4 linked regions of the Anolis sagrei genome follow. The main gene of each other region encodes a partner of the protein of the gene in region 3 in a complex. Links are inferred from orthologs where the notes say so. Each region holds a gene or a part of one and is shown on either strand. Other genes may lie near its edges. The genes, in order: RBM8A, UPF2, UPF3B and CASC3.

Region 1 (7,440 bases), on a different chromosome or scaffold from region 3:
CTAATTGGATTTACCTATTCCTTTAAAGTGCTTTTTACTTAGGTGCTTTTTACTTATCTGTATAAATCAAAATGTAATGTTCGTTTGTGGGATTAGCATAACTCAAAAACCACTGGACGAATGGACACCAAATTTGGTCACAATCCACTTATCAGGCCAACGAGTGACTATCACTCACAAAAACACTGGAAAACACAGCGGAAGGGACTTAAAAAATACATTACAACGCGTGCGCAAAACCACATATATACACATGTACACATATATACACACACAAAACACTTATACACAGACTGAGCCACAGCAACGCATGGCAGGGGACGGCTAGTTATGAATAATATCTCTCTTTTTCTCTTAGAGACTTACATTGGTGAAAAATAAAACATACAGCTTCAAAACTATTATTATATTATTTTAAACTTGCTTCTTCTTCGTAACATCTAGTGTTTTCGTACTTTAGAATGTACTTTAAAGCTCTCTCTTAAAAACAGACCCAAAGCAGCCAAAAACACACTACCGAAAACGTACAACCGCTAAGGTTACATAATAAACTAATATGATAATAATAGTAATTATTATTATTTTTTGTCATGTCAGGAGCGACTTGAGAAACTGCAAGTTGCTTCTGGTGTGAGAGAATTGGCCGTCTGCAAGGACATTGCCCAGGGGACGCCACCTAGATGATTGGATGTTTTTATCATCCTTGTGGGAGGCTTCTCTCCCACAATAATAATATAATATTATTAATAATATAATAAATAAATAAGATTATTATATGCAATATATTATTTTATGTGTGTTTGTGTGTGTGTATATATATATATATATATAAAATTTGTATTTTATTATTAATTAAATTTAATATGTAATTTTATGCATGTCTATCTATATTATTTATGTGTATCTATATTATTTATTATTATTTAATGCAATATATTATTATATAATAATAAAATAAGATTATTATATGCAATATATATTATTTTGTGTGTGTGTATATATAATTTGGATCTTAAATCTGTCTAATTTATTATTATTTAATAATAATGTTAATAATATATAATAAATATTATATGCAATATAATATATTATTTTGTGTGTGTTTGTGTGTGTGTGTGTATATATATATATATATAATATTATTATTTGTATTTTATTATTAATTAAATTTAATATGTAATTTAATAATAATAATATAATATTAATATTAATATGAAAATAATAATAATAATAATAGATGTATATATTTCCCACCCCAAAGTAAGGCACAGCATGGATCAAACTCAACACTATTTAATATAGGCAAGGTACGAACAGGATGAGTTTTGTAGGATTGCTATTAAGGTGAATTATTATTATCTTCATCATCATCACCATCATCATAAGGTTGAGTCGCCTTACCTGATCCGAAGCCTCGGCCTTTCCTTTTCTTTGCTTTTTCCTTCAGTTTGTGGATGCTTTCTGCAGAGAGACCACATAGAGTTTGATTAAACAACGGTCAAATTCACAAAACAACAACAACAACCACAGTAGGTGTATGTTAACATAGTTTATATACATAGATAAGACAGAGGAGCGCAAAGATATATATATATGTGTGTGTGTGTGTGTGTGAGAGAGAGGGAAAAAACATACAATGAAGGCTGATCACTTCTACAATTTAGGATACACATTATTATTATTATTATTATTATTATTATTATTATTGTATCCTGCTTGATCTCTCCATACGAAGAATCAAAGCGGTTCACAATCCAAAACATTACAACTTAATAAATTATATAGATGTAAATTTAAGATCCAAATTATATATATATACACACACAAAATAATATATTATATTGCATATAATCATCTTATTTTAATATTATATTATTAATATTATTATTAAATAAAAAATTATATAGACACAAATTTAAGATCCAAATTATACATATATATATACATACACACACAAAATAATATATTATATTTCATATAAAAATAATATAGATACACATAATAAATAATATAGATAGACACACATAAAATTATATATTAAACTTAATTAATAAAATAGAAATAATATTTTATTATTCACACACACAAACACACATAAAATAATATAATATATTGCATATAATAATCTTATTTATTTATTATATTATTAAATAATAATAATAAATTATATAGACACACATTTAAAATCCAAATTATATATATATACACAGACAAAATAATATATTATATCACATATAAAACTTATTGAATTACTATTAAATATTATTATTAAATTATATTAAATGATATAGACACAAAATTATATACACACACTATAATATATTATATAATGTATTGCATCAAATAATAATAATATAAATAGACACACATAAAATTATATATTAAATTTAATTAATAATAAAATACAAATAATATATTTATTTATTATATTATTGATATTATTAAATAATAAAAATATATAGACCCAAATGTAAGATCCAAATTATATATATATATATACAGATACACATAATAAATAATACACATAATAAATAATAGATAGATACACATAAAATTACATATTATTAAATTTAATTAATAATAAAATACAGATAAGAGATCTACACGCAAGAGAGCATTGTGTATATCTATTTATTTATCTATTTGTCCATCCATCTACACGCTACAGGCCGCAATAGGCGCTAAAGTAGTACTGGACTCCATTTCCCAGAATGCTCCACCGTTGCCGTGGCCGGCAAGAGCTTCTGGGGGATGTAGTTCGACGTCACTTCCGCTCAACCGGAGGCGACTAGGCCTCAGGCGGGCCCTAAATTAGTGAGGCCAGGGCCTGGCTTGGGCTGCTCACTCACCGTCGCCGTCCTCGTCCATGGCGAAGTCCTCTCCGCCGGCCTCGTGGAGGTCCAAGACGTCCGCCATCGCGAGGAGAGCCCGAAACACCGAAGAGTACGACACGACAGGCTCCGCGGCCTACTCCCACACAGCAAGAGAAGGAGCGTCTCTGCGCATGCGCACTCCCTTCAGCGCCAAAGGAAGGGGGCGGAGACGTCCAGAGGAGGTCGCCCAGTCGCGCCTGCGCAGAAACGCGGCGTCCCCCGCGCAGGCGCCATCTTGAGAAGGTCGTCGACGTGGATTTGTTGGTTTGTCCCAACAAGGTTCAAAAACGGCTGGGTGGATCCGGACCCCACCTGGCAGGCAAAGCCTTCGTGGTTGGACTTAAAAGAAGGGAAGGGTCTGGAGGTGGAAAGAGAAACGCTCTCTTGGTAGTTTCCGTTCTTAACGTTGAGCCTTCTGTAGGCCACCTCCCCCTGGACAGCAATGTATGCGGCAGGTACTGGCTCGTTCAGTAGACTCTCCTCTACAGTTTCATTTGGGCAGGAAGCCTTAGCATTGAACGGTTGTGTTGTTAAAGTGCAAAGTATGGAACCCTGCGCAAACAGTTGGTCAATGCGATGTAAGCAACGTATGCGGCAGGTACTGGCTTATTCAGTAGACTCTCCGCTACAGTTCCATTTTGGCAGGAAGCCCTAACATTGAACAGTTGTGTTGTTAAAGTGTGAAGTATGGAGCCCTGCGCAGACAGTCGGTCAATGCGACTTAAGCAATGTATGCGACAAGTACTGGCTCATTCAGTAGACTCTCCTTTACAGTTCCATTTTGGCGGGAAGGCTTAGCATTGAACGGTTGTGTTGTTAAAGTGCAAAGTATGGAACCCTGCACAGACGGTCGATCAATGTGACTTAAGCAACGTATGTGGCAGGTACTGGCTTGTTCAGTAGACTCTCCTCTACAGTTCCATTTTAGCAGGAAACCTTAGCATTGGACGGTTGTGTTGTTAAAGCGTGAAGTATGGAGCCCTGCGCAGACAGTCGGTCAATACGACTTAAGCAATGTATGCTGCAGGTACTGGCTTGTTCGGTAGACTCTCCTCTCTAGTTCCATTTTGGCGGGAAGGCTTAGCATTGAACGGTTGTGTTGTTAAAGTGCAAAGTATGGAACCCTGCACAGACGGTCGATCAATGTGACTTAAGCAACGTATGTGGCAGGTACTGGCTTGTTCAGTAGACTCTCCTCTACAGTTCCATTTTAGCAGGAAACCTTAGCATTGGACGGTTGTGTTGTTAAAGCGTGAAGTATGGAGCCCTGCGCAGACAGTCGGTCAATACGACTTAAGCAATGTATGCTGCAGGTACTGGCTTGTTCGGTAGACTCTCCTCTACAGTTCCATTTTGGTGGGAAGCCTTAGCATTGAACGGTTGTGTTGTTAAAGTGCAAAGTATGGAACCCTGCACAGACGGTCGGTCAATGCGACTTAAGCAATGTATGTGGCAGGTACTGGCTCGTTCAGTAGACTCTCCTCTACAGTTCCATTTTGGCGTGGAGCCTTAGCACTGAATGGGTAGTGTTGTTAATCATGCCCAGGGTGGGAGAAAGAACCCGTGTCTGTTTAAAGCAAGTGTGGATGTTGCAGTAAGCAAGTGTGGGTAGTGCTGAATAGATATCAGTGAGGGTATCTGCACAGAAGTAGTGAGGGAAGTGGAGTGTATATATCCCCGTGGAATGAAGTCCAGGGTGGGAGAAAGAACCCTCGTCTGTGTGAAGCAAGTGTGGATGAGAAAGCTTGAATAGCCTTGAGCAGCCGTGAAATTTGCAAAGTCAGTCAGAAAGGGTATTTGCATAGAGGTAGCAAGTGGAGTGTGTGTGTGTGTACACATACACACTAGGCATGTGCAATCTATGGTTCTAAAGTACTTACAAAACTAAAGTTCTGGTAGTGAAAACTAGGGGGCGCTGGTGCTTTGCTTTTACAGTGTTGGTAAAGTTGTGGTGGTGAAAATTTCAGAACTCTAACAAAAGTTTCAAAATTTCATAATAAATGGTAGATCCTAATTGGTTCTGCCATAAGGGGAGGGAAGAAAGAAAGAAAAAGAAGGAAAGTAAAGGAAGAGAAGGGAAAAAAAGGAGAAAATGGAGGGAGAAAGAAAAAAAGAGGGAACGAAGAGAAAGGAAAGGGGGAAGGTATAAGGGGTGGAAAGAAAGAAAGAAAAGAAGGGAAGGAAAGGAAGGAAAAAGGGAGGGAATTAAGAGAAAGGAAAAGGGTACGGTACAAGGGAAGGAAGGAAGAAAAAGGAAGGGAAGGGAAGGAAGAGAAAGGGGAGGGAGAAAAAAGGGAATGAAGAGAAAGGGAAGGGGGAGGTACAAGGGGAGGGAAGAAAGAAAGAAAAAGGGAAGTAAAGGAAAGGAAGAAAGAAAAAAAGGAGGGAATGAAGAGAAAAGAAAGCGGGAAGGTAGATGGGGAGGAAGGGAAGAAAGAAAAAGAAGGGAAGTAAAGGAAAGGACGTAAGAAAAAAGGGAGGAAAGGGAGGGAGGAAGAAAAAAGAAGGGAATGAAGAGAAAGGAAAGGGAGAGGTACAAGGGGAAGACAGAAAGAAAGAAAAAAAAGGGAAGTAAAGGAAGGGAAGAAAGAAAAAAAGGAGGGAATGAAGAGAAAAGAAAGCGGGAAGGTAGAAGGGGAGGAAGGGAAGAAAGAAAAAGAAGGGAAGTAAAGGAAAGGATGTAAGAAAAAAGGGAGGAAAGGGAGGGAGGAAGAAAAAAGAAGGGAATGAAGAGAAAGGAAAGGGAGAGGTACAAGGGGAAGACAGAAAGAAAGAAAAAAAAGGGAAGTAAAGGAAGGGAAGAAAGAAAAAAGGAGGGAATTAAGAGAAAGGGAAGGGGGGAGGTACAAGGGAAGGGAAGAAAAAAAAGGGAAGTAAAGGAAGGGAAGAAAGAAAAAAGGAGGGAATGAAGAGAAAAGAAAGAGGGAAGGTAGAAGGGGAGGAAAGAAAGAAAGAAAAAGAAGGGAAGTAAAGGAAGGGAAGAAAGAAAAAGGGGAGGAAAGGGAGGGAGGAAGAAAAAAGGAGGGAATGAGAAAGGAAAGGGGGAAGGTACAAAGGGAGGGAAGAAAGAAAAAGAAGGGAAGGGAGGAAAGGGAGAGAGAAAAAAGGAGGGAATGAAGAGAAAGGAAAGGGAGAAGGTACAAGGGGAGGGAAGAAAGAAAAAGAAGGGAAGGGAGAAAAAAGGGAGGAAAGGGAGAGAGAAAAAAGGAGGGAATGAAGAGAAAGGAAAGGAGGAAGGTACAAGGGGAGGGCAGAACGAAAGAAAAAGAAGGGAGAGAAAAAGGAGGAAAAGATGAAAAAGAAGGGAAAGATATGAGGGGAGGAGAAGAAGAAAAGGGAAATAACTGAGGAAAGAAAGAAAAAGGAAGGAAGAGAAATGAAAGACGGAAAGGCACAAGAGGAGGGAAGGAAAGAAAGGAAAAGAAGGGAAAGAGGGACGGAGTGAGAAGAACGAGAAACGAAGAGGACTAACGGCATATGAAGCAAAGCAACGGAAGAGGGAAAGAAAGGATGGAAAGAGCGAAGGGGAAAGCGTATGAAGAAAAGAACGAGCCACGCAGGATACGCTACTTTTATTGTACTTTTAAAAAATTACAAAAACCAGTACAGAACATCGTGAGAACAAAACCGGAGGCAACCCTTCGAGGGCCGTTTTGTAGTAAATGCGTTTATAAACATCAATACTGCAGTGTAAACAAAGTGCTATATAAAAATAGATACATATACTTTAATATATATATATATATAAAAGGTACAAGACTTATTTCCGGGACACGAATCGCAGGGGCCAAAAGTGTTTTCGCCCCTCAATTTTGGGAAGAGACTACGTTCCATTAGATCTCGGAAATTTTTCGTACGAAAATCCCTTTCTGAATGTAAACAAATCGGAAATTTTAGGAAATTTCCAACCAAATGAATTCGAATTTGTGCTTCTGGGGTTGTAACGCAGAGCCTATCTTCACTATGTGACTTTCCCTACAATTATGGATCCTATCCATTGAAGAATATAACACTTCCCTTCCATACGGTTTATGCACGAGATTCCTAAAAATTAGGCATTATATCCATAGCAAGAAACCAAAAACAAGGTTTTTTTCCTGGCAATGCTACACTTCCACTTAATACTGTACCTAGCCCCTCCCACTGGATATATATACTCGTCAAGGGGAGAGTGGGCGGGGCTACCACCTAAAAGTGTCTAGTAAGTTTTCTAGAAGATTCCGAACTGTCTGCGCAGGCGATACTATATGTGCGATTCACAGGGACCACGATGAGGAAAACTCATTGCAACAACGACTGAAATCTTTGCAAGTCCAAATTTGACGGAAGAAAGTATTGCAAAAATCTTTGCAAGTCCAGGTTTGAATAATGGGGAAAGGCGTTACAACAACAACTTTGTAAATTCAGCTTTGACGGAAGAAAGTATTGCAACAACGACTGAAATCTTTGCAAGTCCAAATTTGAACAAATGGGAAAAGTCATTGCAACAATGGCTGAAGTGGATCCGAGGTAATAGCCCCTCCTACTGGCTATATATACTCTCAAGGGGAGAATGGGCGGGGCTACC
Region 2 (7,055 bases), on a different chromosome or scaffold from region 3:
CACCCCTCAACAAAGGATTTCCCCAGTCACTAATAAGACACATCTAAAAATTGTCAGGCCATCAAATGCCAATCAAAGTGGTCAGTTGAAACATTCACACCTAGCTCCAACTGACAAGAGTTCTTTGTCCCACCCTGGACATTTCACAGATATATAAATCTAATTTTCCTAGTTCCAACAGACCTCACAACCTTTGAGGATACTTGCCATAGAGGGAGGTGAAACATCAGGAGAGAATGCCTCTAGAACATGGCCATACAGCCCGAAAAAACCTACAACAACCCAGAGGATTATCTGCCTTGATATTTACACATTATCTGCTTTGATCTAGAATATATGGCAGTGTGGACTCAGGGTCCTACCACACAGCCCTGTATCCCAGAATATCAAGGCAGAAAATCCCACATTATCTGAATGTGGACTCAGATAACCCAGTTCAAAATGGATATTCTGGGATATCACTCCTCTGTTTCGCCAGCTCCACTGGCTGCCGATTAGCTTCCGGGCACAATTCAAAGTACTGGTTTTAACCTTTAAAGTCCTGAACGGTTCTGGCCCAGATTACCTCTCCGGACGTATCTCCTGCTATGAACCATCATGAAGCTTAAGATCATCAGGAGAGGCCCTGCTCTCGATCCCATCACTCTCGCAAACGCGGTTGGTGGGGACAAGAGATAGGGCCTTCTCGGCAGTGCCCCCCCCCCCCCCCGGTCTGTGGAACTCTCTAAGGATATCAGGTTGGCTACCTCCCTCCTGTCCTTTATAAGACAACTGAAGACCTGGCTCTGGGGTCAGGCGCTCGATTAGAGGCCAGCGACAATAGGAAAAGGAAATTTGGATTTTGCGATATGGATTCTCCCAGCTCGGCTTGGTTTTATTGGCATGTTAATCTATTAATTTATTGTTAAATTTTACTGATGATGTTGTATAATGTTTTAAAATGGTTTTATTGTGAACTAGCTGTCTCCTGCCACGCACTGCTGTGGTCCACATGGGGGTTCTGTGTGGGAGGTTTGGCCCAATTCTATCGTTGGTGGGGTTCAGAATGCCCTGTGATTATAGGTGAACTATAAATCCCAGCAACGACAACTCCCAAACTTCAAGATTCTATTTTCCCCAAACTCCACCAGTGTTCACATTTGGACATATTGAGTCTTTGTGTAGAGTTTGGTCCAGATCCATCATTGTTTGAGTCCACAGTGATCTCTGGATATAGGTGAACTACAACTCCAAAACCAAAGGGCACTGCCCACCAAACCCTTCCAGTATTTTCTGTTGGTCATGGGAGAACTGTGTGCCAAGTTTGGTTCAATTCCATCATTGGTGGGCTTCACAATGCTCTTTGATTGTAGGTGAACTATAAATCCCAGCAACTACAACTCCCAAATGACAAAATCATTTTTTTTTTAGTGAAGGACATACATTGGGTTGTTAGGTGTCTTGTGTCCAAATTTGGTGTCAATTCGTCCGGTGGTTTTTGAGATCTGTTAATCCCACAAACGAACATTACAGTTTTATTTATATAGAAGATTGTAATTTTTATGGTATTTATGCTGTTAGCGTCCTCTGATGCTCATGTGAGTTCATGCTCCCTTGTGGGGAGAAGAGCGGGATATAAATATATGAAATAACAACAACAACAACAACAACAACAACAACAACAATAATATAGCCAATGGAGCTCCTGTTTAAGGAGGTCCACTGGCTGCCGTTCATTTTCTGGTCCCAATTCAAGGTGCAGGTTATTACCTACAAAGCCCTGAATGGTTTGGGACCCAACTACCTATGTGACCAAATCTCCTATCACAAACCTGCACGATCTCTTCAATCCGCTGAAGAGGCCCTTTTCTCGCCCCTTCCTCTATCACAGACTCGTCTTATGGGAACAAGGGAGAGGGCCTTTTCTGCTGTGGCCCCCCGCTTTTGGAATTTGCTGCCTAAGGAGATCAGACAACCCCCCACCCTAGCTGGTTTTAAGAAAGACCAAAAAACCTGGCTCTTCCGTTGTGCTTTTGGAGAACGACCATTCAACCCATCTGGTTGTCTTAGTCTACAGCTGCCCTCAGAATAAAGCATCCCACCCTCTATTGCCAAAATCCCCCCAATGGCTAAATCCCATGGTTCCTCCCTATTCGGCTCCTTTCCTACAAATGCACTTTTATCCCTATCTCACCCAGGGTTTTAACTTTTTAACATTTTACCTCATACATTTGGCTCGCCCTCCGTGTCTGGTTTTAATATGCTGTTTTATATTGTTGATTTTGTTATTTTATATTTTGTTACTATGTATTTTGTTACTATGTGTTTATTATGTTGTATTATTTTGAGCTTGGCCTTATGTTAGCCGCACCGAGTCCCCTTTGGGGAGATGGTAGCGGGTTATAAATAAAGTGTATTATTATTATTATTATTATTATTATTATTATTACGCCGTGTGGAAGGACCCTGAGTCCATACTGCCGTATATTCCCGTTCTAAGCAGAAATGTGGGATTTTATACAGGTGTGGATGGGGCCTCGGCTAATACTAATAACAACTCCCAGGCTTCCCTAGTCTCGAGCCATAGCTGTTCAAATGTGTGTCAAACTGCATTCGTTCCCCAGTGCAGATGCAGTGACTCCCAACGGCCTTAGCAACGCGCGGGGTGAAACAGGAGCGGAATGGCTCGTTGAAAACACCCCAAACAAGTCCAGAACTCTTCCCAGCGCCCTGTCAAAGGGGTGTGATTGAGTTTGACGTGAGAAAGGGGGGCGAAAGCAGCGCGAACGAGGGCTGGCTCTGGGAGGGGGCGTCACTAGGCCTCCCGCCCTCCCGCTCCTCCTTCCGCGCCGTCGGGCCTCCCCGCTCTCCCCGCACCAGGAGGCCTCGCTTCCCCCGTGGCTCCACGCCGCCCAGAGCGGCCCGGCCGGGATTCGTTACCTCAGCCCGCGGTCCACATCGGTCCCAGCTTCTGCAGCTCCAGCTCCGCCAGTTTCTCTCTTCTGACACCCTCCTCCCTCCCACTCGCCACAGGACGAGGACCCCGCCCCCCAGGGTGGCCACGCCGCGCCTGCTCGGAAGCGCCCCCTCGCCGCTCGCCAGCTCCCTCTCCTCGGACTCAACGCGAGGAATAGAAATACACCTGCATAATCCGCTTTCGACGAAGTGGAACTGAAACCCCGCGTCTGGAAGGAAACGGGAATGGGGAGGGCGGCAGCGAATCAGGCAGTGCTCTGGACAGCTTCCGTTCAGGTAGGGTCCTGAGAGCGGGAGAGAGCAGGGCAACCCCGTGCTTTGGTTACCAGGGGAGGCGGAAGTGGCTGAGTGGCGCTCGCTCCTCCGCCCCTCCCTCTCCTCGCCCAACGCCTTTGGCTTTTCAAAACAATTCAAATCGAATTTGCGGTCAGGAGAACTCTGAGGCTGGATCTCTGTAATGCCATATAATCCAGCTCATAGATGAGCTGGATTAGATGGCAGTGAAGGCTCAGGGCCCTTCCACACAGCCATATAACCCAGAATATCGAGGCAGATAATCCATCATATCTGCTTTGAACTGGGGGCCCTGCCACACAGCTGTATAAAATCGCACATATCTACTGTGAACTGCAATACATGGCAGTATGGACTTAGATAACCCAGTTCAAAGCAGATAATAATAATAATAATACTTTATTTGTACCTCACTACCATCTCCCCAAGGGACTTGGTGCAGCTTACATGAGGCCAAGCCCGCAGTACATCAATAAAACGAAGGCAATAACAAAAATAATCAATACAAAACGGTAAAATAAATCTCATAAACAAAAATATCCGCAACAGTCCTTTCCAGGTCACGGCAGCAGACCATCCCATCAATGGACTGGATGCTGGACTCCGGCCTTTCGACTTGATTATCCCTTTTACCATCAAGAAAGGAGAGCTAACAGGTGAGGTGCGGATGCCATCTGGCAAGGTAGCAAAGCCAGACACCACAGAGAACAAGGATGGCACCATGACGGTGCGCTATGCACCCACAGAAGCTGGCTTACATGAGATGGACATCCGCTATAACAATATGCACATCCCAGGCAGTCCCCTTCAATTCTATGTCAGCTATGTCAACAGTGGCCATGTGACTGCCTATGGGCCAGGTCTTATCCATGGAGTAGTCAACAAGCCTGAGTCTTCACTGTCAATACAAAAGATGCAGGAGAAGGTGACCTCTCTCTGGCCATTGAAGGCCCCTCTAAGGCTGATATTGGCTGCACTGATAACCAGGATGGCACTTGTACCGTGTCCTATCTTCCAGTCCTGCCGGGTGACTACAACATCCTGGTGAAATACAATGACAAAACAAAAAATAAACAATAACATACAAGCATTTAAAAACCTATGGCCGGGCTAAATGTAATAATTTAAAATTTAAAAAATAATGCTGGGCATGAACAAGGTAGGGTATAAGCTAGGATAGGGTTTTCAAAGAAAGATGAGGGTGCGCAGACAATCCTAAATCAATACTGTGGATTATCTACCTTGATATTCTGGGTTATATAGCTGTGTCCGAAGACCCAAAGACCTCAATGGCAGAGGATAACATGGTACATGTTACAACAACTGTGAAGGCGGAAGAAGGCTGCAACAGATTGAGAGGCCACGGTCATTGTGTTAAACTACACCACCAGTGGAACCTCACTCTGTGAAGACTGTGTGTTGATCAGTTGTGCACTGACCTACACACATTTTAAAAAAACTCAAGCACAGGCATCTTCCAAAGAAAATAAAAACAAACAGAGGCACTAATGGAGGGTGAAAGAGATAAACGTGCCAGGAGGAAGGTGCGTCAAGCCAACCCCGACCGAGACCGCCTTCCACCTGGAAACCAATGCCCTCACTGCGGGAGAAGATGCAGATCAAGAATAGGGCTCCACAGCCACCTACGGATCCACAAGAATACTGATCATGAAAGACCATCCTACTCGTCCAACGAGGGATCGCCCAAGAAGAAGGATATATGGCTGTGTGTTATCCCTAGGTTATCTGAGCCCACACTGCCAGATAATTAATTATTATTTATTTTATTTACATCACTTATATCCCGCCCATATCAGCCCGCAGGCCACTCAGGGCGGTCTACATATCGGCACAATTCGATGCCATCAATACAATACAAAAGCAAAAACAATTAAGTGCATTTAGACAAAAAAGGCAGTGCAATAACAATTTAAAAAGAGCTATATCCTCTCAATCCAATCCTCATCCGTTTCATCGTCTTGGCCGTTCCTGGGTCATTCTCCATCTCAATCTTGACTATTCCGGGGTTCCGAATGCCTGCTCGAAGAGCCAGGTTTTCACTCTCTTACGAAAGGTCAGGAGGGAGGGGGCTGATCTAATATCCCTAGGCAAGGAGTTCCACAGCCGAGGAGCCACCACAGAGAAGGGTCAAAGGGACCTCTATGTGAGCCCTTCCACATATAACCCAGAATATTTGCTTTGAACTGGGTTATCTGAGTCCACACTGCCATATAACCCAGTTCAAAGCAGATCATTTATTTATTTATTTTCAGTTCAGTTGTGGATTTTATACAGCTGTGTGGAAGTCCCCTCAGATAATCCAGTTCAAAGCATCTGCATTCTGAGGCTCTTGATACGCTGCCATATAATCCAGATTATCCAATCAGATAATTCACATCTGTCTTGAATTGGAACCCCTTCTACACTGCCATATAATCCAGATTATCAAATCAGATAAGACACATCTGTTTTGAACTGGATTATATGAGTGTGTGGGAGGAGGGATGAAAAGACCACCTGTACATTACATTGTTTGAGCTTTGTTCCGAGAGCTTGAAAATCATTTATGATCTTTTGAAAAGTATGCCTAGCAGTATCATTGGTTCCTACATGAGGGGAGGACGGTGATGGGGCTTGAGGAGCCTGGTGAGCCTCGGAGTGATTATGGTGTATTTTTGCCCCCAGTAGGCAGCATATTTCTCGAGCCATCCCATCTGGTCTGGAAATGACGGCTTCCATTCCTCTAAGGAGGGAGTCGCCCACTACCAAGACCTGTTTACTTTCAGGATTGACAGGGTCCCTTTTGTGCAATGTAGTGTGTAGGTCCCCAGAAAAGTGATCCTGTTGATGTGAATTGTGTAGGTGTAAAGTGTTGTTCTCCTCCTCAACATCCCCGGTGCATTCGTCAAGGACAATCCATTGAGATTCATCCAAGAACCTATCGTTCTCCTGTATGTGTTCCTGTTGCACCTGGTCTATGGCTGGGGATGGTACACCTGCACGATTGTGTAAGTGTGAATGTTGTGAAGTGTTGTCCCAGTCAGGGCTATCCCTCGCACACTGATCAAGGACCAGCCACTGATCAGTATCTAAGCCATTCTGGTCTTCCCCAATATGTTGTGTTTCTTGGTCAAGTGATAGTTGTGTGAGAATTTGGAATCTATTATGTAACTGCAGTTGGGCAGAGGTATTCTGAGGAGTCTTCCGGGTCCTATGTTTCTTTCTAAGGGTGACATGCCTCCAAGCTTGAGGGTTGTCCACATCTGAGGTGATCTCCTCTTGAGCTTCCCCATAATGTTGGTGTGCTATGGGCTGCGTGTCTAGGACAGTGTGGTGTGTGGTGTCTAAGAACAGCTCAAGTTCCTGAATGTCCTTAAGGGTCTTAATACGGTCCTCAAGTTGTTGGATCCTCTGTTCCATGTGAGTGATCTGTTTACACTTGGGGCAGATGTAATTGAGTAATTGTTGTGTGAAAAGACAGCCTATCCCAGCTGCTTGAGACTGTGTCAGAGTGGTCCTTGAGGTTCCCCAGACTTATCGTTTTGAGGGATTTCAATGTCCACGCTGATGCAAACTCTTGTTCATTAGCGGCTGTGGACCTAGTGTCTACCATGGAGACACTAGGACTCTCGCTTTGTAGTACTGGGCCCACGCACCGGGCGGGACACACGCTAGATTTGATTTTCAGCGCAGGAATTCAAGTGACCCAAGCCTCCACAATAGAGGTTCCATGGTCGGATCACTGCGCCCTGAGAGTCCGGTTGGAGCATGCCTACCCACGTTGCAAGGGCGCCGAGCCAATTTGG
Region 3 (7,818 bases):
GAAGCAGCCATATCAAGCAAGTCTTGGTGTCCATTGTATGGGGCAGAAGTCATCCCCACTCTTCCTTATTTATTACATTTCCTAAAATCAGATGTTGCTACACCACACAATGGACCACACATTAATATGGATCCTTTGCTGTGAAGCTGGCTACATTTCCTCCCCACCCAAAGCCCTTTGCATGCGATCTCAGATGAGCAATGATCGGATTTTTCAAATTAAATTCTGGATGACACTGGCTCGGCACAGACCATGCAGGCAATTCTACCCCGTTTCTGGGCCTCTGGATTGACTGAATTATTTTCACCAATTTATGCCAATATATATTTGGACAAAACAGAGATATGATATACATAGCCAAGTTTCAGGCATACTTGCCTTTGTGATCAACAAAAACATAACCATCAAAGCGATCCCTGAACAGAACTATGTCTTCTTGGTTTTTAAAGTTGATGTATGCTCTGGAAAACATGTGAGGGTACAAACTGCAGAAGGACAGAAAATGGCAATGTATAAGGAAACGTCGCTGAGTGATGACTGTAAATATACCAAAACACAAGACGGGTGTAAAACTGAAAGACATAAATGACATGCCACCGTTACATGCAACACGGGCAGAGTTTGAAAGGCCCTCTCACCTGGTGTCATTAGCAAAGAACTCAAAGTAGTCGTGTTCCGGCAAAGGCTGGAGATGTTCTTCAAGCTGCTCCTTGGTTAGGCTGGGAGGGAGGCGGCGAATCACCACCTGCAAGAGGAAGTGTCGGTTTTTACAAACACCTTAATTTGTCAAATAAATTGTTCCAAACAACACTATGTAACACAATTGTCGTTCCTGGGTTGGGGCATTTCCTAACTGGTTCTCCCATAAAAACTGTTGGAATGTAAGCCCGAATTGAAAATCCATCTCTTCCGGTAGAAGGCCGACCCAGCCAACTTTCTATCATGAGGTTTGACTGACATTCCCTTGCTGCTTTATGTTGATTTTGAACCCTGTGTGCGGTGTACATTTTCATAATTATGTCTTTTTTCTCTTTATATTTTATTATATAAAAGTTATGTTCATAGGTTATTGACTTTGCTATACTCTGGGTAACAAAATATGTATTCTTATATTTATATTTTTATTATCATATTCTTAATATTATATTTCTAGTCTTATTATATTTTTGATTATAATGTTCTTACTATATTTTTATTCTTATTTTTTACTATATATCTATGGTTATTATATATTGACTGTATTCTTATATTTCTCTTATTACAGTATACATAAAACAAATTTATTATATTGAGTATGTTGAGTATGTTCTTATTCAATTTCTATTATTATTATAGTTTATTATTTATTAATTTACAACATTTATGTCACTCTTCTCACCTGAAGGGGACTCATTATAGATAAATCACATTTATTATAGGTTGATTATGATATATTCTTATATTTCTTTTCTTATTATAGTCTATATAAAACACATTATTATAGAATATTCTTATTCTATTTTACTCCTTACCATTCTTACTATAATTTTATTCTTATTATATTCTATATAAAACACATTTGTTATAGGTTAACTATATTCTTATTCTATTTCTCTTATGTTCTTATTCTATTATTACATATCTATTCTTACTATATTTCTGTTTTTATTGTATTCTGTATAAAACACAGTTATTATAGATTACCTACATTCCCATTCTATTTCTCTTCTTATCATTCTTATTCTATTATTATATTTCTGTTCTTATTATATTCTATATAAAATACATTTATTACAGATGAACTATATTCTTATTCTATTTCTCCTCTTTTCATTCTTATTCCATTACTACATATCTAGTCTTATCATATTTCTTTTCTTATTATATTCTATATAAAACACATTTGTTATAGGTTGACAATATTCTTATTTTATTTCTCTTCTTATTCTTATTCTATTTTTACATATCTATTATTATATTTCTATTCTTCTCATATTCTATATAAAACACATTCATGATAGCTTGAACATATTCTTATTCTATTTATCTTATCATTCTTATTCTATTACTACTTATCTGTTCTTATTATATTTCTGTTCCTATTACATTCTATATATACACATTTATTATAGCTTGAATATATTCTTATTCTATTTATCTTCTTATCATTCCTATTCTATTATTACATATCTATTCTTATTATAATATATATAAAACACATTTATTATAGCTTGAGCATATTCTTATTCTCTTATCATTCTTATTCTACTACTACTTATCTATTCTTATTATATTTCTATTCCTATTGTATTCTATATAAACACATTTATTATAGCTTGAGTATATTCTTATTCTATATCTCTTCTTATTCTATTATTATATTTCCATTCCTATTATATTCTACATAAATACATTTATAATAGCTTGAGTATATTCTTATTCTACATCTCTTCTTATCATTCTTATTCTATTATTATATTTCTATTCCTATTATATTCTACATAAATACATTTATTATAGGTTGAGGCAATTCTTAGTCTATTTCTTGTATCATTCCTATTCTGTTATTACATATCTATTCTTCTTATAATCTATAGAAAACACATTTGTTATAGGTTAATTCTATTTCTCTTCTTATCATTCTCATTCTATTACTGCATATCTATTCTTATTATATTTATATTCCTCTTACATCCTATATAAGACACATTTGTTATAGAATGACTATATTCTCCTCCCTTCACCTTGCTGAGGAGCTCCTTCTTGTCCCGGGGCCTGCTGTCGGGCTCCCCTCCGGCCTTGGCGTCCGCGCCCCCGCCCACCGCCAGGGCTCCCGCTCCGGAGGAGGAGGCGGCGCCGCCCCGCTTCTCTTTGGGCCTGGCGTTCTCCTTGCCTTCCTTCATCCTCAACGCCGCGCCAGCCAGAGCCAACAACAAGGCCCCGCTCGCCCGTCTTCCGCTCCGTCCCGCTCGCCCATTGGCCGCCGCTCCTCTCGCGAGAGCCTCTTCCCTCATCCCCATGGCAACAGAGCTGAGGAAGTGACGTCGCCGCGGAAGGCCGCAACGGTTTTTCCATCTCCATAGCAACAGCAGCGGCGGGGGAGGGGGAAGGGAGGGAGGAAAGCCTGCGCCTGCGCAGTTCCGCCCTGCCTTTTGGTAAGTCACAAAACCCTCCTCCCTCCGTCACAAGGAGGTGGAGAGAAAGTGGCGCCTGCGCAGTGCCGCACTCCCTCAGCCCCGCCTCCCTCTCACTCCCATTGGCCGCGAGAAATGTCTCTCTCCTCTATCCCCAGAGTGACAGCAGAGGAGGGAGGAAAGTTTGCGCTTGCGCAGTGCAGCCCTACCTCAGCTCCGCCTCCCGGTCACTCCCATTGGCCGCGAGAGATGTCTCTCTCTTCTATCCCCATACCGACAGTAGCAGAGCGAGGAAAGTTTGCGCCTGCGCAGTGCCGCTCTCCCTCAGCCCCGCCTCCCGCTCACTCCCATTGGCCGCGAAGGATGTCTATCTCCTCTATCCCCATAGCGACAGCAGAGGAGGGAGGAAAGTTTGCGCCTGCGTAGTGCCGCCCTCCCTCAGCTCCGCCTCCCGCTCACTCTCATTGGCCGCGAGAGATGTCTCTCTCTTCTATCCCCATACCCTCAGTAGCAGAGGGAGGAAAGTTTGCGCCTGCGCAATGCCACCCTCTCTCAGTCCCGCCTCCCGCTCCCTCCCATTGGCCGCGAGAGATGTCTCTCTCCTGTATCCCCATACCCACAGTAGCGGAGGGAGGAAAGTTTGCGCCTGAGCAGTGCCGCTCTCCCTCGGCCCCGCCTCCCGCTCACTCCCATTGGCCGCGAGAGACGTTTCTCTCCTGTATCCCCATAGCGACACCAGCGGAAGTGACGCCAGGACGGAAGAGAGGGAGAGAAGCTTTTTCTGCCCTTGCATTCCTGAGGAGAAGACGATGTGGTACGAGATCCTTCCCAGCCTGACGGTGATGTACGTCTGCCTGACCATCCCGGGCTTCTCCACCACCTTCATCCACAAGTACACCAACGGGGGCAAGGTCAGCCACACCGCCACGCTATCGCGCGTCTGTCCCGCTTGGGCCGCCCTGGAAACCTCCCGGGGAATTCTGGGACAGAATGGAGGGGAGGGAGGCAGGCAGGGAGGAGTCAGAGTAATAGAGAAATACATAATAATGAGGGATGTGAGTAAATACAGGATGGAGAATAGATATATGGAATAGGCATAAATACAAAATAATAATCATAATGCAGGATATGCATAAATACATCATAATGTAATTGTGGGGTATAAAGAAATACATAATAATAATATACATGCAATGTATTAGTACATAATATTATAATAATAATATATTAATATGTGATATTATATTAATATATAATAATATATTATAATAATAATATATTAGTACATAATGATTTAACGGTCATTTAAAAGTCCCTTGGCCACTGTACACGTACAGCTGTACCAGTTTCCTTTGCACTGAATGTTTGTTATAGTCATAAGTTTCAGGGACTCTGCAGATAGGTGGCTTCTTTTGGCTGCAATCATAGGGCAAGCCACCTGTCAATTATAGTTCGGTTCCCTGGTCGCGCCCCTTTTTGAGTTTTGGAGGGAATAGGAGCCTTTTTGGGTCAGTCCACACAGAGAAGCTTCCATGCAGGACATAATATCAAGAGCTCCTGTAGAAAGCTTCGTCTTCTACAGCTTGGCCGGGGAGATATACAGCCTACAGCTTGGCCGGGGAGAAAAGGCCCACAGCTTGGCTGAGGATTTTGCAAAGTTACAGCTCCTTTGCGGAGGGATTTCAGCCAGCCAACACAGCAACCTGAACTCCTTCTTTTCCCCTGGAAGTCTACAAAGCTCTGCTTGGTAAGGGTCGCTCGTGGAAGCCAGACGCAGTTGGTACCGGGTGCAGGGGCTCCACGCCAACAGAGGCAAAGACAGACTGCCCAGATTAGAAGTTAAGGATTTCCCCATTAGTTAGTATACAGTTATGAAGATAGTGCCTGTTCCCTATGGACAAGATTGAAAGAGCCTATAGACCGTTAAAAAAAGCTTTAAAGTACCTGTTTGTTTTAATCAATAAAGAACTTTGTTGGACTTACTTTAAGTCTCTACAGAACTTTGTTTTAAGGAAATCCAAGGGCCTTTAATCTGAGGCAGCCCCGGCATCCCGTTGGGCACTCAGAATTTATGTCCTGTCTACAGCCTTATGCACAGGCCCAGCGTGCGACAGCACAACCACATCATGAGAAGAAAGGAAAGCTTAGAGAAGATAATGATGCTGGGGGAAATGGAAGAAAAAAGGAAGAGGGGCCAACCAAGGGCAAGGCGGGTGGATGGTATCCTTGAATTCACGGGCTTAACTTTGAAGGAGCTGGGGGTGGTGACGGCCGACAGGGTGCTCTGGCATGGGATGGTCCATGAGGTCACAAAGAGTCTGAAGCAACTGAACAAATGAACAACAACAAAATTGTTGTGGGATATACATAAATACATCATAATTATAATGTAAATGTTAGATATAAATAAATACACAATATTCAGCCTTCAACCATAAATCTGTATAAATAAATATGTAATGTTCATTTGTGGGATTAATATATTTCAAGAACCACAGAAGGAATTGAGACCAAATTTGGACGCAAAACACCTATCAGGCCAACGTGACCATCACTCATAAAAACACTGGAAAACACAGCGGAAGGGACATAAAAGGCTCAAAAACAAAAAATACATTACAAGGCATGTGCAAAACCACATATATATAGGCAAGCACACATATACACAAATATATACACAGATATATACACACACAAAACACAGACTGAGCCACAGCAATGCATGGCTGGGGACAGCTAGTGCATAATAATGATAAATACGGGATATAAATAAATATAAATAAATACATAATAATTATCCTAATGTAAATGTTGGATATAAATAAATACACAATATTCAGGCTTCAACCATAAATACACAATAATTATAATATGGTGGATCTAAACTGTAGAATGAATACAAGTTTGATACCCTGTCTTGATATGATTCGAATTGTGGGGGTTGTCATTTTGCAAGGTCTTTAGCCTTCTCTCGTGCTTCTAACCCAAAGAAAAGGGCTGCATCTACCATCCTCTATTCCAGTTGTCTGGGGTTTTTTCCCCTTTTTATGTTGGATTATACGCTTATACATTTTATCCCTTTTCTCCTTGATTTTGACTTGTTTTTCCCAACCCTTTTGTGTGTCCCAGGAGAAGCGCATTGCCCGGAACACCTACCAATGGCACTTGATGGAAAGAGACAGGAGGGTTTCTGGAACCGACCGTTACTTCGAGTCCAAGGTAGATAATGAAAAGAAACATTAAAACGCCACATGTTTGCCTTGGTTGCAGAGAGGAGTTCTGTCTAAACTTCATAGTCTTCGTATTTAGTGACAGAGGGTTTTTAGCCTCTGTTTTTGAAAAAGAATGAATGCAATAAACAATACCTAGAGGAGCATTGAATAGTACAAAACAATCTAAAAACCTCTCTCTTCTAGCCAGTTTTAAGCATGAATTTGAAACTCTTGTCTCTGTTTTGTGTATTTTATAGAAATATATATTTATATATTTTATATAACTTGATTTTAATATGTGCGTTTAAAGAATGTTCGCAATGTTTGTGTGTTTTGACTGTGCTGTGACCCGCCTTGAGCCACTAGCCACAATAACAGTAATTATGATTATGAAATGTTATCAGATAAAATTCTCAGAACCTGATATTATTTCTAAGATAAAATTGTTGTTGTTGTTACTATTTATTTATTGTTTTAGAAATGAGCTGAGGGTACTCAACTCGTATTTAAAAACACAAAGTTTGCAACACTTGGCATTATGCTAAATGTCCTTTGACCAGTAGCTGACCACTTGGAATGCCTCTGGTGTTGCTATAAGAAGGTCCTCCATTGTGTATGTGGCAGGGCTCAAGCTGGATTGTAATAGGTGGTCAGTGGTTTGCTCTCCTCCACACTCGCATGTCGTGGACTTTGTGGCCCCATTTCTGAAGACTGGCTTTGTACCTCATTACTATTATATGTCATCAGATAATATTCTCAAATCCTGAGATTATTACTAAGATAAAATGATGGTGATGATTAAATGTTATTAGATAAAATTCTCATAGTCTGAGATTATTATTAAAATATTATTATTATTATTAAATGTCATCAGATGAAATTATCAGAGCCTGAGATTATTATTAAGATTATTGTTGTTGCTATTATGAAATGTTATCAGATAAAATTCTCAGAACCCTTTTTTTGTAAAACATTATTCTTAAGAGATTACCATTTTTACACTTTTCCATTTTGCTTTCCGTTCCGTTTCAATGATGGTTTTCCTCTTTTCGGAGCAGTCTGTCTGAAGGAGTAGCCTGATCAGATGAATGGGAAGCAGATAAAATCCTCTTATTTATTATTCATTTACGACATTTCTATGCTGCCCTTCTCACCCCGAAGGGGACTCAGAGTGGCTTACAAGATGTATATACATACAATATATTATATTATTATCATAGTACAATATCAGTATCATATATTATTATATTGTACTATACCATTATATTGTAATATTATCTGTAATATTATGTGTAATATAAAATATATTATTATTATAATATTGTAGTACATTATAATATAAATATTATAGGTATATACAAAATATTATATTATACCAGCTGTACCCACCACGCGTTGCTGTGGCCAACCTTCCCCGCCTTTTTCTCTCCTTCTTTCCCTCCTTCCTTTGCTCCTTCTTTCATTTATTTCTTCTGCTTTCTTCTTTCCTTCTC
Region 4 (6,869 bases), on a different chromosome or scaffold from region 3:
AGTAGACCTGTATTTTTTTAAATGTAGTATCAAAATATATACAATAGAGTGACTCATTCCCAGCAGCAGCTCTGGAAATAGTATTGTATGTCATGCTTTGCCTAAAAAAGGAAAATTTACTTTCTGCAGTAGAAACGATACAGCCAATCATAGGAACATTTAAATGGAACAGGTTGAACTTGCAAATGAGAATGCCATCATTGCGGTTTTGCACAAGGGCCCTGTGTCTTTGAGACATGGTGGTTTTTGAGTCTAGAAAAGGCAGCCAGGACCATTTAAATTTGTGGGGTTTTTTTTGGGGGGGGGGGCAGGAAGCAGTATCTGTCCTCCCTTTCAACATTATTATAGCTAAGTTGGTTTAACAAAGCATACATACTGATATTATCAAAAGCAAAACAATAAAAGGAAAATTACAAGACTGGAAAAACAAAAAAGCGAAAGTGCATGAATTGGTTTTAGGCATACTTTTTAAAGAGTATTCTAAAATTGCGAGACTGCATGTGGCAAGGACAAATTCCATGTTGCAGATGTTTAGAAAAAAATAGTGCTGAACCTTGTCATAAACATCTATAGTGTAACATCATATAGAATATAGAATAAATTCTGCTTGTTTCATCTTAAACCCACAACACATCTAGAGCAGTAAAAGGCAAAATGTGGTAGCTGAATGTGTTGATCTTAGAGAAAGTCTATGGGGGTTTTCAGCATAGAAAAGAAAGGGGCATGACAGACACCATAAAATGATGCATGTTGTGAAAAAAGTGGACAGGAATAACGATGTTAGATATGCAGCTCTTCAGTGAAGCTGCCCGGTGGCGCAGTGGGTTAAAGCCCTGTGCCAACAGGACTGAAGACCAACAGGTCGCAGGTTCGAATCCGGGGAGAGGCGGATGAGCTCCCTCTATCAGCTCCAGCTCCTCATGCAGGGACATGAGAGAAGCCTTCCACAAGGATGATAAAACATCAAATCATCTGGGCGTCACCTGGGTAACGTCCTTGCAGACGGCCAGTTCTCTCACTACAGGAGTGGTCGCTCCTGACACGACCAAAAAAAAAAAAAAGTGAAGCTGTATTGATTCAAAACAGACAAAGGTACCCGATTCCTACAACTATGGCGTTAAAAGCACTGCCCTTATTCTACAGGGGTTTATGAATAGTACCTAAAGATGTTGGGTGTATCTACACCAGGGGTCCTCAAACTAAGGCCCCGGGGGGGGGGGGGGGGCGGATACGGCCCTCCAAGGTCATTTACCCAGCCCTCGCTCAGGGTCAACCTAAGTCTGGAACGACTTGAAAGCACACAACAACAACAACTACAATCCCATCCCATCCCATCAACCAAAAGCAGGCCCATACTTCCCATTGAAATACTAATAAGTTTATATTTGTTAAAATTGTTCTTAATTTTAATTATTGTATTGTTTTTAAGTGTTTTTTGCACTACAAATAAGATATGTGCAGTGTGCATAGGAATTCATTCATGTTTTTTTCAAATTATAATCTGGCCCTCAAGCAGTTTGAGAGACTGTGACCTGGCCCTGTTTAAAAAGTGTGAGGACCCCTGATCTGCACTCTAGTATTATTGCAGTTTGACACCACTTTGACTGCCATGCTCAATGCTATGGAATCATTGGAGATGTAACTATGCAAGGACTTAAGCCTTCTCTGCCCAATAGTGCTGCTGATTTTCCAATCTACAGCTCCCAGGATTCTGTAGCAAACTATATTAATTCTGCAGTGTAGATGCACCTGTTGATGGGCCTCCCATGTCCTTTGGTAGCATGCATTTGCTGGGAAAAGAAACACTGTCCTTGTGTCCTGACTCTGGACTTTTTATTAGCATCTGTTTAGATAGTGGGTAAACATGATACTGGACTGGGCTAGTCTTTGATGTGATCCAGCCAAGCTCCTTTTTATGTTCTAACTTTTATGATTAGACTTGGTTCATGTTAACCCAGTTGATAGACTATTTCAAAATTATACTGTTTTTGCATATCATTTTCAGTGCCAGGTTTCTCTTCATTTTTTTTCTTTTCTACAAGTGGCAACCGGTTTTTCCTAGGTAATGAGATTGGGTAGATAATAGGAAGGCGAATGGTTGTTATGGTTAATGTTAGTTGAGCCTTATAACCTAAGTCACTTTAAATAAACAAAAATATTGTTCCAGCATGCAGTATAACTGGGTTTGTATTTTCCACCAGCTTCCTGGACCTAGCATGCCACTGCAGGCTCACCCGCTTTTGCATTACAGGTTGGCCATCCCTTATCTGAAATTCTTGGGAAAAGTGTTTTGGGTTTTGGAACACCATTACTTGCATAATGAGATATCTTGGAGATGGGCCGCAAAATTTATGTGTGCTATGGCAGGCCATGGGGCAACTTCGGCCCTCCGGGTGTTTTGGACTTCAACTCCCACAGGAATTGTGGGAGTTGAAGTCCAAAACACCCAGAGGGCCGAAGTTGCCCCATAGCCTGCCTTAATATGCATAGCTTGAAGGTACATTTATCCAATATTTTTAATAATATTGTGCATGAAACAAAGCTTGGGTACCTTTTGCCACCAGAAAGCAAAGGTGTCAGTGGGTGCATCTACCCCAGGCATGGGCAAACTTTGGATGTTAGGAATTGTGGGAGTTGAAGTCCAAAACACCTGGAGGGCCGAGGTTGGCCCATGCCTGCCTTAAATGCATATCTTGAAGATTAATGTATTCAATTGTGCATGAAACAAAGTTTGGGTACATTTTGCCACCAGAAAGCAAAGGTGTCCGTGGGTGCATCTACACCAGGCATGGGCAAATTTTGGCCGGCTGTTAGGAATTGTGGGAGTTGAAGTCCAAAGCACCTAGAGGGCCGAAGTTGGCCCATGCCTGCCTTAAATGCATAGCTTGAAGGTTAATGTATTCAATTGTGCATGAAACAAAGTGTGGGTACATTTTGCCACCAGAAAGCAAAGGTGTCAGTGGGTGCATCTACACCAGGCATGGGCAAACTTTGGCCGGCTGTTAGGAATTGTGGGAGTTGAAGTCCAAAACACATGGAGGGCCGAAGTTAGCCTATGCCTGCCTTACATGCATAGCTTGAAGGTTAATGTATTCAATTGTGCATGAAACAAAGTTTGTGTACATTTTGCCACCAGAAAGCAAAGGTGTCAGTGAGTGCATCTACACCAGGCATGGGCAAACTTTGGCCAGCTGTTAGGAACTGTGGGAGCTGAAGTCCAAAACACTTGGAGGGCCGAAGTTTGCCCAAGCCTGATCTACACTGTGAGATCAATGCAGTTTGACACCCATTAATGACTATGGCTCAGTGTCAAAGAGCTCTGCCAACCTCATCAAACTACAAATCCCACAATTCCACAGCACTGAGCCCTGGGAATTAAAGCGGTATGGGTCTGCATTGATTCTACAGTGTCCATGCAGCCTTGCTTGAATTATTTTGGCTTTCGGAATTCTGGCTAAGGGCTGTGTCCAACCTGTTTTTCTCCATGCGGCCGGTTTACCCTTTTCATTCCCTCCGAAGCCTGTGCAACGCCCTGCCTCTACGCTTTCAGTCCTGCAGGATAAACAACAATGACATCACCGTCGCAGTGGGAAAGCGTCGAGGCAGTAGGGGGGGGAAGAGGGGGAGGTGTCAATCTTCGAGAAGCACGTGACCCTGTTGCCGAGGCGTCCTTCGGCCCGCCCACTGAAGAGCAGTTTGCCGTGACGTCATTGCTCCACAGCGCCTCCATTGGCCGCTGTCTTCCTTTCCTCCCCTTTTGTCTTTAATCCTATTTTTTGTTCTTCGCAAAGAATTCTGGGGGGAAGGGGAGGCATCGAAACGTGTCTCGCGCGCGCGCGCTGCGTGTCGGAAGTTGGGAGCTGGTGGGCGCGCGCCTTGCTCGTTACCCGTCATCCCTTTGGGCTCCGCCCCCTCCTCTTCCTCTTCCCTAACCGTTTCGCTTCTTGTTTCTTCTCGTCAAGATGGCGGACCGGAGGAGGCAGCGCGCTTCCCAGGACAGCAGTGAGGAGGACGAGTCGGACTCGCCGCCTGGGAGCGCGGCCCCTTCGCCGAGGGGCGCCCTCCGCCTCGGACTCGCCGGCTCCGCGGCCAACGCTAGCAATGCAGGCGGTGGAGGCACCGCGGTTGTTGTTACTGCCGTCGCCGCCACTGCTGTTCCTACCTCCGCCGGTCCTGAAAACGTGGAGGCGGCTCTGACGGCGGGAGGAAGCCCGGCCGACTCGGAGTGTGTGAGTACCTGGGCGGAGGAGAGGGAAGGCTCCGTGAGGGACTGGGCCTTGCACTAGGCCGCAGTTTGAAGCGCTCTGAGGTTTCAAGCCTCCTCAGGCCTTGGGGCTCTTCCACACAGCCAGATAACCCAGAATAATTATAATCATAATAATTTTGCTTCTTACCCACTCTCCTCATGGCTCAAGGCGGGTTGCAAAACAATTAAAACATATAAGCACAGCAAAACACTACAAATACACATACCACCATAAAAGTTACATACCAAAACATATCGCTGTGAAATATATATGGAAACAGACAAAACAAATTAAACAAAGGGCATGCATTAAAATTCAGGTTTATGTTTAAAGACTAGATAATAATAATAAGGTTTTTATTTATACCCACCCTAACTGTCCGAAGGGATTCAGGGCAGTTTTCATCAAAAGTGGCAAACATTTGATGCCATAATAAAACAAACAAATGAAATATATATGAAAACAGACAAAGGAAATTAAACAAAGGTCATGCATTAAAATTCAGGTTTAGGTTTAAAGACTAGGTAATAATAATGTTTTAGTAATAATAATGTAATAATCTGCTCTAGCTCCCCGAGAGGACTCCCATCAAAAGTGGCAAACATTTGATGCCATAATAAAACAAACAATAAATGAAATATATATGAAAACAGACAGAACAAATTAAACAAAGAGCATGCTTTAAAATTCAGGTTTATGTTTAAAGACTAGGTAATAGTAATAAGGTTTTATTTATACCCACCCTAGCTGTCCGAAGGGACTCAGGGCAGTGTTCATCAAAAGTGGCAAACATTTGATGCCATAATAAAACAAACAACAAATGAAATATATATGAAAACAGACAAAGCAAATTAAACAAATGGCATGCATTAAAATTCAGGTTTATGTTTAAAGACTAGGTAATAATAATAATAAGGTTTTATTTATAATAGTAGTAATAATAAAACTTTATACCCCGTCACCATCTCCCCAAGGGACTCGGAGCAGCTTACATGAGGCGAAGCCTAACAACACATCAAAAACAACAAGCAATAATAAAAACAACAAGCAATAAACAAAAAAACAATACAGTTAATATAACTCACAGGTAGACAATAACACATAAGAATTTAAAAATCTATGGCAGGGCCAGATGTAATAGTTAAAACTTTAAAAATAAATGCTGGACATGAACAGAGGATGTAACTAGTAGGGGAGTTTTAAACGAAAAGTAGAGAACAACCCAATGGGTAATTAAAGTGCTTCTCAGGGTACTTTGCAGGGGATTGTTTCCTTTATTCAGAGAAGGCACACTGGAACAGCCACGTTTTCAGGCTCCTCCTAAAGACTGCCAATGTGAGGGCTTGTCTGATATTCTTGGGGAGTGAGTTCTAGAGTGGGGGGGGGGGGGAAACCATGGAGAAGACCCTATCCCTCATCCCCAACAATCGCGCCTGCGAGGGAGTTGGGAGCGAGAGCAGGGTCTCCCCAGATGAACGAAGAGATCGTGTGGGTTTATACACAGAAATGCGGTCACCTGCCCTGGCTCCCTGAGGGGACTCAGGGAGGTTTCCATCAAAAGTGGCAAATATTCAATGCCACAATAAAACAAACAACAAATGAAATATATATGAAAACAGACAACAAATTAAAGGGCATGCATTAAAATTCAGGTTTATGTTTAAAGACTAGTTAGTAGTAGTAATAATAGTAATAATAATAATAATAATAATAATAATAATAATAAAGTTTTATTTATAACCTGCCCCAGCCCCTCGAGGGGCCTCAGGTTAGTTTCCATCAAAAGTGGCAAACATTCAGTGCCATAATAAAACAAAACAACAAATCAATCAACATAATAAATAAAACTTATGGCTAACCAATAATAACCAAAAAGTAAGAACTTAAATAAATGTAATACATCACATTTCACACATTTACCAGCAGCTAAAAGGCATTAAAATATTGGGTGGTTTACTGCAACCAACAGGGCTGAGGTAGCTTTCCAGTAGCTAAACGAGAGTACATAACTAAAATGTATTACTGATCCTTTCCATACGCTAAAGTGCATAAATAGGTTTTTAAGGAGCCCCCAGTGGCGCAGTGGGTTAAACCCGTGTATCAGTAGGACTGCTGACCAAAAGGTCAGCGGTTCGAATCCGGGGAGCTGAGTGAGCTTCCATCAGCTACAGCTTCTCAGATGGGGACATGAGAGAAGCCTCCCACAGTATGGTAAAACATCCTGGCGTCCCCTGGGCAACGTCCTTGCAGGCGGCCAATTCTCTCACACCAGAAGTGACTTGCACTTTCTCAAGTTGCTCCTGACATAAAAAGAAAAGAAGAAGCTTTGTAAAAGAGAGAATTTCTACTTCTTTGGGGAGGGATTTCCAGTGGTGGGGGGCGATCAAGGAGAAGGCCTTGTTTCTTGACCTGACCAACCATACTTGAGACGGGGGTAGGACCAAGAGCAGGCCTCCTCCATGGACCGCAATGCTTGTGGTGGTTTGTATATGGAGATGCAGTTTTTCAAATCATCTGGGCCCGAACCATTTAGGGCTTTATAGGTGATAACCAGCCCTTTATATTTCGCCAGGAATCAGACCTGCAGCCAGTGGAGCTGCTGTAGCATGGGAGTGGTTCTCC

Evidence for each region.
Region 1: UPF3B (region 3) and RBM8A share a complex: the UniProt entries of both Homo sapiens proteins name them as parts of the mRNA splicing-dependent exon junction complex. The link is inferred for Anolis sagrei from reciprocal best matches to the Homo sapiens genes UPF3B and RBM8A.
Region 2: the proteins of UPF3B (region 3) and UPF2 are in contact, whole or in part, in a crystal structure (PDB 7NWU), measured with the Homo sapiens proteins. The link is inferred for Anolis sagrei from reciprocal best matches to the Homo sapiens genes UPF3B and UPF2. Residues at the interface, in NP_542199.1 of Homo sapiens: Lys52, Arg56, Arg57, Tyr79, Glu81, Phe83, Asn85, Asp86, Thr87, Ser88, Leu89, Tyr90, His92, Tyr94, Arg96, Tyr98, Ile130, Glu132, Pro135, Phe136, Lys138, Ala139, Ala140, Arg147, Asp148, Lys150, Val151, Gly152, Thr153, Ile154; in NP_056357.1 of Homo sapiens: Lys767, Arg768, Pro769, Pro770, Leu771, Glu773, Tyr774, Lys777, Lys790, Arg793, Gln794, Arg796, Lys797, Leu798, Pro799, Trp800, Gln801, Cys811, Ile814, Asn815, Trp817, Tyr837, Gln838, Glu839, Asp840, Ile843, His844, Val846, Asp847, Gly848.
Region 4: UPF3B (region 3) and CASC3 share a complex: the UniProt entries of both Homo sapiens proteins name them as parts of the mRNA splicing-dependent exon junction complex. The link is inferred for Anolis sagrei from reciprocal best matches to the Homo sapiens genes UPF3B and CASC3.

Annotation. Positions count from the first base shown.
Region 1 is NC_090032.1:21,384,527-21,391,966, forward strand, and holds the start of RBM8A (RNA-binding protein 8A), read right to left. Parts: upstream 3,009-7,440; 5' UTR 2,917-3,008; coding exon 2,850-2,916; intron 1,462-2,849; coding exon 1,402-1,461; intron 1-1,401.
Region 2 is NC_090025.1:90,733,966-90,741,020, reverse strand, and holds the start of UPF2 (regulator of nonsense transcripts 2), read right to left. Parts: upstream 3,016-7,055; 5' UTR 2,920-3,015; intron 1-2,919. UniProt on the Homo sapiens protein: Involved in nonsense-mediated decay (NMD) of mRNAs containing premature stop codons by associating with the nuclear exon junction complex (EJC).
Region 3 is NC_090030.1:3,214,475-3,222,292, forward strand, and holds the start of UPF3B (regulator of nonsense transcripts 3B), read right to left. Parts: upstream 3,015-7,818; 5' UTR 3,000-3,014; coding exon 2,724-2,999; intron 746-2,723; coding exon 639-745; intron 486-638; coding exon 379-485; intron 1-378. Other genes in the region: NDUFA1 (NADH dehydrogenase [ubiquinone] 1 alpha subcomplex subunit 1), read left to right, coding at 3,923-4,024, 6,243-6,332. UniProt on the Homo sapiens protein: Involved in nonsense-mediated decay (NMD) of mRNAs containing premature stop codons by associating with the nuclear exon junction complex (EJC) and serving as link between the EJC core and NMD machinery.
Region 4 is NC_090026.1:40,429,087-40,435,955, reverse strand, and holds the start of CASC3 (protein CASC3), read left to right. Parts: upstream 1-3,850; 5' UTR 3,851-3,962; coding exon 3,963-4,229; intron 4,230-6,869. UniProt on the Homo sapiens protein: Required for pre-mRNA splicing as component of the spliceosome. Core component of the splicing-dependent multiprotein exon junction complex (EJC) deposited at splice junctions on mRNAs.